Linked DNA regions of Astyanax mexicanus. The protein of the gene in region 2 purifies or fractionates together with the protein of the main gene of each other region. This does not show direct contact. Links are inferred from orthologs where the notes say so. Each region holds a gene or a part of one and is shown on either strand. Other genes may lie near its edges.

Region 1 (3,759 bases), on a different chromosome or scaffold from region 2:
AATTCGTCACATGAATAAAATCAAAATATAATATGTCACATAAATTAAACCCATACTATTATAAATCATTCATAAAACTGATAATAATATCACAGACATTAATACGAGAATCAACTTTACACATTTTAATAAAACATTAGACATTTGTTTATAAAAAGTTGAAGTTCATGTTCACTCAAACATTTTGCAGCCACATAAAAGAAAGCCATTACCAGGGAAATAAACTTAAAAGTGTTACTTGTAATTACACTACAGGTTTCCCTGGTGGAGTTCAGAATAGGGAGGTACTTGGACGTTAACCCATTATGGGCATAAATAAAAAGCTTCATGAAAAATACACACATGTTTTAGAATTAAGTTACAACAGAAATTCCAAATGGGATTCTTTTATCTTTTATTCTTTTAATTACGAAGTCACATAATTTATGAACATTTTGGGGATGGACAACAGTTTTAGTGGCTAATATTTTTTTTTTATCTAGATTATAGCAATGGATAAATACGAAATGTATTTCACTAAAGAAAATGTACCACAACAATAGAAGAAACAAGTTTTTACCCTATAAACTATATACCCCCAATAAAGCCAGAGAAGTGCATTTTAAAGGACTTTCCTTCGTTTATACGTAACAACCTATTAAAATAATTTAATAATTTATTGAAGTGACATGTATTTTTTTATGAAATCTCAGTTTTATACCTATACTCCGCACACCTGCTCCGGTGTCTTGCTGTCCTCCTCATCGGTGTTTGTGAATTGTGCTGCAGTCACGTGCGCTTCTCAGAAATAGAAGTCGTTCCACGACTTGGCCGCGTTTCATATGGTTTGTGTATGAAACAAAAATAGATTTTTTTATATATTTTTTAAGCTTAATCAAATATATATAGTGATTGTAGATGTTTAAAAAGTGTGTTGCTATTAGAATATCGGACAAAAAAAAAAAAAAATGTTTGATATTTTGTTTACTTGAGGTGGGCATTCCGGGTCGAGTAAGTAAAACTCCAGCCCAGGTTTTTGTACTAACTCCGCTGCAGCAGAGCCACTCAGGTAGTTGGTACAAACTCCTGGGCTGGATTTTTACATTCTGGACCTGGGTTACTCACCGCCATTGTTAACATGCTTAATGACGCTGAAAAGCGTTTATGCCACAACTCGTTCATTTTGTCCTGCATCAAAAATGTCAGTGTGAATGAGGAGGATCCCGCTTCGAAGGGAAATTCGTTTTTCCGATAAAACTGGCTCCACACGAATGCAGAGGTATAAGTTACCCCAAACTGACCACTAAACAAGGTTAGTCCTAGACTGGCGCTAATGTTATTTATTAACTATACAAAAAATGGCGACTGTTTTTAAACACCTCGATATTTACACACATTTGAAGAATGGTTTATATCTACAATACGGCAATACAAGGATTAACTAACCTCTAAATTCGGTATTCAACTGGTTTTATAACGCGTCAGTGGACCCGCCGGGCCTGCGGGTGGCGCTGTGAGCAGAGCCGCGATGGTAAAAGTGAATGGGTTCCGCCGCTGTAGTCCACACTGTGTGCTAACCCGCGATGGCTAAACATCATCCAGATCTAATCTTCTGTAGGAAACAGGCCGGTGTCGGTAAGAAAGACAAAAAAATTAGAAAGTACTGATTTTGTTTTAACGAGTTTTGGAATTCCGTAATCATTATTTTAGTCCTAACAGGCGAATAGATGTATTAACTAGCTGCCATCTGCCAACGTTACGCTAGCGTAGCCAGGCTCGCTGCTGTAGATCCAGAACAGGCGAACGAGCTCCACTGTGTTTAAAGAGGGAAATATAGTTTATTTCACGTAATAAAGTACATTTTATACTTTTGTTTATTATAAATATTGACCTACTTTTACAGAACAGCACTGCGGATAAGCTGTTGACGCCTTTCTATGGCATTTTTTGAAAACAAAAAACTTTAACTCTGAGCTTACAACAATAATTGTGATTGTCTGTGATGGTCTCTAAACTAAATTAAATCTCCCCTCTACTATCGTGTGAATATTTGCTAGCTGGTTAATTTATTTCGGCTGGTAACCTATTTTACAAAATCAGGTAGTTGTCTATTTAAGTAGTCTTTGTTTATTTTACATTTATCAGTTCGTGTGTACTATTGTCTTGTAAATTACTAACTCCTTATTTGTGTTTTTATCTTTATAGCTATCGGGAGGCTGTGTGAAAAATGTAAGTTTTTGGAGTATCTATTACTTTGAACATTTTATGTGTATTATATATTTTGGCAAAAGAGAATCATGTAGCTTCATGCAGTCAGTTTGTGGAGATCGTTATATTTTGTATTTCATCTTCTGTGTCTGTGTAGCCAGTACACCAGTGCAGATAATACTTCACTCTTTGTGAGCATTTAAGGTTTCACACTGATAGTAAAGGTCTTACTTGAAACGTGTGTTCCGTTTTGATTTCTCATAATGCCACGAAGTGTCCACCAATATCAGTTATACTGATGTTTACATTAACAGTTGTTGGGAGATGCTAGTATTTTCCATGACCACTTAAAGTTTAATAATATTACTGAGAAAAGGAAATGTAAACTTTGTGTACTGTGGTGGTCTTATTTGAGCAGGGAAGCAAATGTTTGCCCTCTGAAGGGTAGAAGTATTGCCCACTATCCTACACCAACCACTGACATTGAATTGTTTTTAGTAATAAGCATGTCTAGACAGTAGAGGATTAGTAGTGTAGGGGAACTATCATGGTTATTAGTTTTTGTTTCACAAGGTGTAGCTTGTGTTGGTCAAGTTTGTGCATAAGATTTACGTTTGACCTTCGGCAATGAAGCTTTAACAAAAGTACTGAGAAACTGTGTATTCTTTCATATCATGCTTATGTCAAAGTTATATTTAACAACCATGACTATGTTCTTTCTTTTCCTCTTCAGGTGATGGGAAATGTGTTATCTGTGATTCCTATGTCAGACCTTGCACACTTGTGCGCATTTGTGATGAGTGTAATTACGGGTCCTACCAAGGGCGCTGTGTGATTTGCGGAGGCCCAGGGGTGTCAGACGCGTACTATTGCAAAGAATGCACCATTCAGGAGAAAGACGTGAGTGATTATTATATATATATATATACTGGGTGAGTGTGCCAGGAAGAGGGGTGTTTTGAACATGCCAATCAGTTAACAGTATGATCTGTTCAAACTATATCAGATAGACCAAATATACCCAAACTAAGGAAAAAAAAATAATTATATATATATATATATATATATATATATATATATATATATATATATATATATATATATATATATATATATTATTTTTTTTTCCTTAGTTTGGGTATATTTGGTCTATCTGATATAGTTTGAACAGATCATACTGTTAACTGATTGGCATGTTCAAAACACCCCTCTTCCTGGCACACTCACCCAGCATGTTACTTGTTGGAGGATAAACAGTGAAGACTAAAACGTTACAGAAGGCATAGCAAAGTATATAATGAATTCTAAGTGTGTTTATGAAAAGCCCATGGCTCTTTCCTGAAGAAAATGTGATAAAGAGACATTTATTTGAGTTTTACTGTGTTTCTGTTTTTGCAATATATTTATTTTTATGTAAATTATTACAGCTGCTATATTTTGTAAAAAATGAATGCCATTGCAATAGCAAAACTTGGCAAAGGGCTTTTAATTTGAAACAAGGCACGCAAGAAGTTTGATTGGGGAGATAAATAAGATCGGAGAGGAAATGTAGATAATGTTAATTTAGATTTT
Region 2 (3,759 bases):
TAACTCCATGTTTTCTGACAGAGGAGGGTCTGATGAATTAATTTCACTATGGGTTTATGCTGACACAATGTATAGTTTAGGCAGCAGACTGATACAACTATGCCCACCCTGTATTCATATCATTTAATGGGATATAACCATGTATCGCCTATAGTGTGATGACTCCTTCATCTACAATTACGCTTTTTTCATAGATAACTCCATGTTTTCTGACAGAGGAGGGTCTGATGAATTAATTTCACTATGGGTTTATGTTGACACAATGTATAGTTTAGGCTGCAGACTGATACAACTATGCCCTTTCTGTATTAAGATAATTTAATGGCATGTATCGCCTATAGTATAAGTGACACCTACGTCTACAATTACGCTTTTTTCATAGATAACTCCATGTTTTCTGACAGAGGAGGGTTTGATGAATTAATTTCACTATGGGTTTATGCTGACACAATGTATAGTTTAGGCTGCAGACTGATACAACTATGCCCACCCTGTATTCATATCATTTAATGGGATATAACCATGTATCGCCTATAGTGTGATGACTCCTACATCTACAATTACGCTTTTTTGATAGTAAACTCCATGTTTTCTGACAGAGGAGGGTCTGCTGAATTAATTTCACTATGGGTTTATGTTGACGCAATGTATAGTTTAGGCTGCAGACTGATATTGATTATTATTATTATTATTATCATTATTATTATTATTATTATTATTATTATTATTATTATTATTATAGATCGGTTTGTAAGAACCATGTCAGTGCTTTCACAGTTGTAAAAAAGATAACAACCATACCTCTTACTGCCATCTAGGGGTAAATGTCTCTTCTGACCCAGCATGTGTAAATATGGAATATATGGTTGAGGTATAAAAAATGTTTTATACTGTTTTGCCAAATTCTCTCCCTGATTCATTTCACACTAATATTACTGTTTAAAGTTAAGGCTAGTGTTTAAATAATAGTTTTAAATCACTCAAATTTGTAACAGAAATGGTTACATATAAACCAGAGACGTCACTAAAGCAATGGATAACCCTCCAGATCGGTAAAACTATATTTAATTGTGTAATATATTCAAAAGCTTCATTGCTTTTATTTTGAAATGGAAACTCAGGAGGAGCACGAAAAACGAAACACTTCCGGGTATAATTCGTTGCTTATTTGTTTTTTTTTGTGTTGTTTTTTTTTCCTTTATTCGTTGCTTATTGTTGCTCACTTAACGCAGCTGCATTCGTGTATGTGTCGGCTACACGGAAGTGCGTCATCGTGCGCCTGAAGTCAGTGCGTAGTGTGGGAGTTGGTGAGGAGCTCGCTGAGAGTTCAGAGTATCTGTTTAGTTCAGTGTAAAAGCGGAACATTAATCAGGATTTTCGATCATGGCGATGCAAGCAGCGAAACGCGCGAACGTAAGTCTTGTTTATTTATTTCGTTTCCCTGTATTTACTCTTTAAACCGAGGCCCGGTGTGAGCAGGCCTCTTTGTATCGAGGAAGCCGTTAGCCTGTTGGAGCTAAAGCCACAGCAGAGTTTCACACTCATCACACACACTAAAACACACTGTATAGACTCCGTCTTACTGTACAACACTAGTGAATGATCAGGTCCTCATTCAGCTCAAACGGGCTAGAACTGTATTAAAGACTATGGGGTAAGAAACACTAACCAACCTAGCTTAGCTTAGCCGCTCGCCCTGACCGAGACAGTTAGCTAACACGGTATCTAAGCTAACCAAGCTAGCTGGCTAGATAAACACTCGCTCTTGTTTGGGGAGTTTTCATTCACGCGGTTTAAACTAGTAAAACTTTGTAGCGTTAGTTAGCTGAACGTAGATAAAAACACGACCAACTTACAGGCTGGCTAAGCTAACTAGCTAGTGTGTTTTGTCTTCTAATCATGCTGGACATTTCCTACAGTATCTAGCTGGCTTTTTATCCACAACTGCGGAGCTTCTTTCTCGTTAATAGAAAACCCAAATAGCACCACTAAACACTCGTGTACTTTACAAAACCAAGTTTAAATAAGAAACCTCAGTCGGTTCTGATGAAGTGTTAATGTGAGCGTTCTCTTTTAAAGCTGTTATTAATATAGGAGAGTGAAATTTCTCAATGTCTGGTCTAAAGTCCCAAATCTTTCAACAGTGTGACAAATCCCATGTTTTATTGTAACGTGTGAAAATCAAGACTTTTAATGTTGTTATTGAAACTGAGCATTAAGCAGAACATCTTTGTTTTGTTTTTTTCTCCCAGATTCGCTTGCCTCCGGAGGTGAATAGGATATTGTACATACGTAACCTTCCTTATAAAATCACAGCAGAAGAAATGTATGACATATTTGGAAAATACGGCCCCATCCGGCAAATCAGAGTGTAAGTACTGATCAATGTCCTATTTTTTTTAGTTAGCAGGCCAATTGTTTATTTGGTATACGGAGCCATTTGGACTAAAGGGTTGATGATTAACTGATGTGTTGAATCAGAGATGTTGAATCACGTGTTTGAGCAGACTAAGCACTAAACTGAGTAGGATTCTGGCTGTTCAGGACCAGTTGTGCACCCCAGATTTAAATGATCTTATATGAGAAGACTAATGTGAGTAGTTAACATAATTGTTACAATAAATTATCTATACTTTGCAGCACCTTTTTTCTACTTCACTCTCATGACATTACATGCCGTTTGCCTGTTTTGCTGCTTCTTACATCAATGCTTCGTTGTTTAGTTCAAAATATCCATAGCTAGTTTGTAGAGACTAGGATCAAGAAATACTTAAAGCTTGATGATGTTTAAAGAACATTAAACATTAACCCTAGATGATTATTTTAAAGATTAGTTTAAGAAGTCTTTGAAAAGATGAGTCTTTAGTTGGCGTTTAAAGATCATGAGTGACTCTGCTACACAAATACAGTCATAAAACTACAATGACTACACACAGAACTAGATTTCAGATTCTGTTACGAATGTATAATTCTCTGTTTAGATTTAGAATTTTTTGACAAACAATTGCAAAAACTGAGTGAGGGGAAATCGCTATTTCTGCAAATATAAAACCTGCTTAGGGGGGCACAATGTGATAAAGTTACAAGGTAGTAGAAGTATTGGATAAGTATGAGACTGGTGCTTTGCTCCGACTCCAGTGGATAATAATGAAGAATCTTTGTGTTTTACACATATTTTCTGCCCAGGAAATGATGTGCCAACATGGTACTTTGTCAGATATATATTTTTATGTTTACTTGTGTTCTAACAGTGCCCCCTGCTGAAGAAATGTCAGATTGCAACAAACTAAATCTGAATCGATCTGAATTGTTAAAAGCCCCATCTAGACAGGATTTGTTTCTCAGGGGGTCCTCTGTGATATTTTATACCCGTCCGGAAAGACCATGTTTGTGTTTTCCTCAGACGTCTTCTGAGAAAATTACAGGCTGAACTACCTACTGTTTGTCACTGAACTCTGTGGTCGTCCGGTAATTTTAGTCCCATCCGGATGGACATCTCTTGAGTTTTGTCACCTCACATTTAATAAAATGGCTATTTGTTCACTGCCACGCACTGTAATTACAATTTGGGTGCGCGTTTCCTTGGAGATCCATGTAAACACAACAATGAGTGGGAATGGAGGAGCTACTGAACGCGATGTCATGTGACCGAGAAAGCAAAAAAAAAAAAAAAACCCTCACTGGTCCCCTTTTTTCCATTGCAGTCCGGATGCAAGAGTTTATTACTGAGTAGAAGTGTGAAATATTTTTCACAGACGT
Region 3 (3,759 bases), on a different chromosome or scaffold from region 2:
TATTATTAGTTTTTTTTTACAATCAGTATTTTCAAAATGTTAAATTAGAAGTAAGATTTCTGGTTGGTTCTCTTGCTCGACTGTATAATAAGATGCCCTCTCAAAGGATTGTTCATTTTTAAATATCAATAAGGACAGTGTAACATTCTATGGCTAAATAAGAACATAGGAAATTGGGTGTAAAACTTTATTTTACATTATATAACTTTGTCTGTTAGGCATTGAAACAGGTTTATTTCTGCCCCTCAAAATCAGAATAAATACATTTCTATTTTTTATTCTGGTAAATAAGTTGGTTGTATTACACCATCCGATATTAAATGCAAGAAAATGCTAAATAAAAATAAGAATCAGAAAACTTTTCATCATTTATTTTCATGTTTCCTGAATTTAAGATTTCCAAACATGAAAAACTTAACAATAAAAATATAATTGAAAATGCATTTCTTCTGCTTTATTAAATGAAAAATAATATATATTTTATTTAATGATAAAGGTTACACCAGGGGTCACCAACCTTTTTGAACCTGAGAGCTACTTCTTGGGTACCAATTAATGCGAAGGGCTACCAGTTTGATACACACTCATGAAATTACAACTTTTCTCAATTTACCTTTAATTATATGTTATTATTAATAATTAATGACATTCATCTATGTGAAGACACATATCAATATGCAACACTATTTTTATAAATCTCTGCAATTGTTTACATTTTATATTATATTATATTTTAATATAATATTACATATATTACATTATATTGTATAATATATAAACTATAGGCTATCTCTAAGCTAATATTAATCTAATATAATCTAAAATTACACCAATGCAACTGATTTAAAAAAAAAAAGAATAGCAACAAAAATGCTATTTTTAGACCAGGTCTGCGGGCTACTCATAAGGTCCTTGCGGGCTACCTGGTGCCCGCGGGCACCATGTTGGTGACCCCTGGGTTACACTGATCCCAAAACAACTGCCATATGTTTTGTATGTGTTTCCTAAAATTGGTTTAAATATATATATATATATATATGTATTATATGTATCTATGTAATATGAGGTAGGTTCATAGCAGCTACTCATTATCAGTGTTTTTTTCTCGTGGTTTTATCTCCATCTAGTGGAAGCTGAATGCGGTACAGTTGAAGCGGAACCGCTGAGTGCAGTGAGGCTGGTGAGGGGGAAGATTAATCAGGGCGCACAGGCAGACAGCTGTGTCAGAACGTATCTAAACAGTAAGAGCGTTTACTGTATAATATCAGCTTTATTAATGTAGCTGAAACAGAGGAGATGGTTTTACCAGCGCTGATATAATACAGGTATTTTATACACATTTTCTGTGTACATTTATAGGACGGGTCTTTCTGAAAACGCCTGGAAAACGTTAAGATAGCAAACGCTGTGAAAACGCTAAGCTAACTAACTGTGCATGTTGTCTTCAGGTGCCTAGGTTGGGAAACGTTCAGTAAACCGTCCACTGTGGGTCTGTTATACAATTATTTTCTTGTAAAATATTATTTTAATGTTTGAAACCTTCAAGACAGCTGAAATATGTACATTTTATTAGTATGTATGCTGGTATTCTTTTATTATGTCTAGTTCACTTGCATGGCTGAAAGAGTACACATAATTGAACTAATTAAGGATTGATAACTACAAGAAAACACTAATAAGAGTCAGTCTAATGTAATTTCTTTATTTAGGGACGTCATATCTGAAAATAATTTAAACACATTTACGAGGAAGTTAAAGTCTAAGTCTAAGGTAAGTTATAGCTTATGTTTTATATCCCTCTGCCAGTTGACAACGCTGTTTCATTACCACAGATACAATTATAAATAAAGATGTAAAACATATTTCCTATTCATTACTAAGTAATTAGAAGTATAGCTGCTGAGTTTAAAATATTTCTGTAGTGGTTAAAGTATGAACTTAAGATTTTTACTCTATAAATAAAAGTGTAAAATAACTTTCTAAGTAGTTTTAAAAGAAGTTTCAATAAGATTATAAAAGTAAAAGTAATGTAAGGGGAAAAAACTAAAGCAATTAAGGACAAGGCAACACCACAGAGTCCTATAGTGCACTACTATATATACTCCCCAAAAAACATTTTTTCTAAAAGCAATAGTGGCTATAATGTTTTATTAAAATGTTAATATTGATACATTTGGGATGCACCCTGTTTCACCTGCATATATGCTTAATGTAAATAAATGTATTTTAGTAGAATATAAATATATCAAAAAGGCTTGGTTGGACGTTTGTCTAGAGTTCTCTGCTATGTTCTTGCTGGAGTGTGTGTTGGGGGTGTGATGTGTGCAGGTGTGATGGATCACAGTATAAACCAATAGGGTGTCAGAATGGTAAATGTTTATACTTCTCATCCAACCACAATCAGATTCGCTCTATCTGGATGGAGAGGTTTATTTGGATAGGGGTTTTATTGAACGATGAGAAGCCGGAATGAAAACGTGCTGAAATGCAATAGGAGTAAGGAGGCTATTTTTAAAATGTAAGGAGTAGAAAGTTCAGATAATTGTGTAAAAATGTTAGACGTAGAAGTAAAAAATGTACTCCAGTAAAGTAAAACCTTTGCTGGAGTAAAATGTGTGCTTAAGTAAGGTAATGGAGTAATTTTCATTTGTTTTATTCATTAAAAAAATCAACATTGTAAATAAAAATATTATTACTGTGCCTGCCCAATTAATATAACAAATTTCAGTTATTCATCTAAGAAGAAAAATGCATGTTGAATAATAAATATGAGGAAATATGGTTAAAAGGTTTTGCAGTAATTTTATAATCAGAGGTGTCAATTAATGAAGTAAAAATACTTTGTTACCTTAACTAAGTAGAAATTTCGGTTATCTATACTTTACGTAATTATTTTAATGAAAAATAGTTCAGAACCATTTTAAAGAGTATATATAAATGATATAATTAGAGCATTAATAGAGCATTAAATGCTGGACAAAAAACTGACAGAATAACAATACAATAGCATAAAGCAATCATGCCCTTTTAAAAGTTTTGGCTTTGTTTGTGTTTGGTTATTTACAGTGTTCCTGACTCTCTGATAATCCCAGCCTAAACATACAGCGATATTAAACACTTCAGTGAGCAGAAATGTGGGGTGAGATAGAGCCAAGCTTCAGACCACAGAGTCCAGAGACTTTTGAAAACGATCAGCCGCTGAGGGATGACCAGGAGGAAGAGGAGGAGGAGGATGAAGATGAGGGTGACGACATGATGCAGAGTGCTGCTGTGGTTTGTGCTCAGTCTACAGCACCCAAGGGACCGGTAAGTGAACTATAAGTATATTCTGATATTTTTTTTAAGGAAGTATTATTTGTAGGTTAGTAGATTTAAGTAACAACAAAGTTTTGTTGAATATTTTATGTAAAATTAAATAAAATGTCTATCTTGACATGAATAGGTAATGAGTAGAATGTAAATTGCTTTCTTTACATTTGTTTTTAGGCAGTTGTCACGCTTGACACGCTTATCCAGAGTCACTTGCATGTAATTCATGTTACACTGGGTGGAGAATATAGAGTTAGAGTTGCTCAGTGACTGTTGGTTGGAGTATAGTGGATTGGTGTAGTATAGTGTGCTTGCTTGGGTGGGGAGTCAAACCACATTCTACAACAGCAGTGGTCCTTAACCCTGTTCCAGGTCAGCAAAAAGTTATGAGGCCATGGGTACATATTGTATGATAGTGTAATAAGTGTGACAGGTAAACTGTCCTGCACA

The links.
Region 1: the proteins of sf3b6 (region 2) and phf5a purify together in Homo sapiens (affinity purification with mass spectrometry; 4 studies listed by BioGRID and IntAct, with this or other methods). This does not show direct contact. The link is inferred for Astyanax mexicanus from reciprocal best matches to the Homo sapiens genes SF3B6 and PHF5A.
Region 3: the proteins of sf3b6 (region 2) and ccdc97 purify together in Homo sapiens (affinity purification with mass spectrometry; 3 studies listed by BioGRID and IntAct, counting the BioPlex papers as one, with this or other methods). This does not show direct contact. The link is inferred for Astyanax mexicanus from reciprocal best matches to the Homo sapiens genes SF3B6 and CCDC97.

Annotation. Positions count from the first base shown.
Region 1 is NC_064422.1:23,507,397-23,511,155, forward strand, and holds the start of phf5a (PHD finger-like domain-containing protein 5A), read left to right. Parts: upstream 1-1,464; 5' UTR 1,465-1,562; coding exon 1,563-1,614; intron 1,615-2,184; coding exon 2,185-2,208; intron 2,209-2,920; coding exon 2,921-3,087; intron 3,088-3,759.
Region 2 is NC_064408.1:59,525,085-59,528,843, reverse strand, and holds the start of sf3b6 (splicing factor 3B subunit 6), read left to right. Parts: upstream 1-1,222; 5' UTR 1,223-1,383; coding exon 1,384-1,413; intron 1,414-2,252; coding exon 2,253-2,371; intron 2,372-3,759.
Region 3 is NC_064410.1:53,972,461-53,976,219, forward strand, and holds the start of ccdc97 (coiled-coil domain-containing protein 97), read left to right. Parts: upstream 1-1,141; 5' UTR 1,142-1,325; intron 1,326-1,448; 5' UTR 1,449-1,489; intron 1,490-1,709; 5' UTR 1,710-1,770; intron 1,771-3,066; 5' UTR 3,067-3,132; coding exon 3,133-3,306; intron 3,307-3,759. UniProt on the Homo sapiens protein: May play a role pre-mRNA splicing through the association with the splicing factor SF3B complex which is involved in branch-site recognition.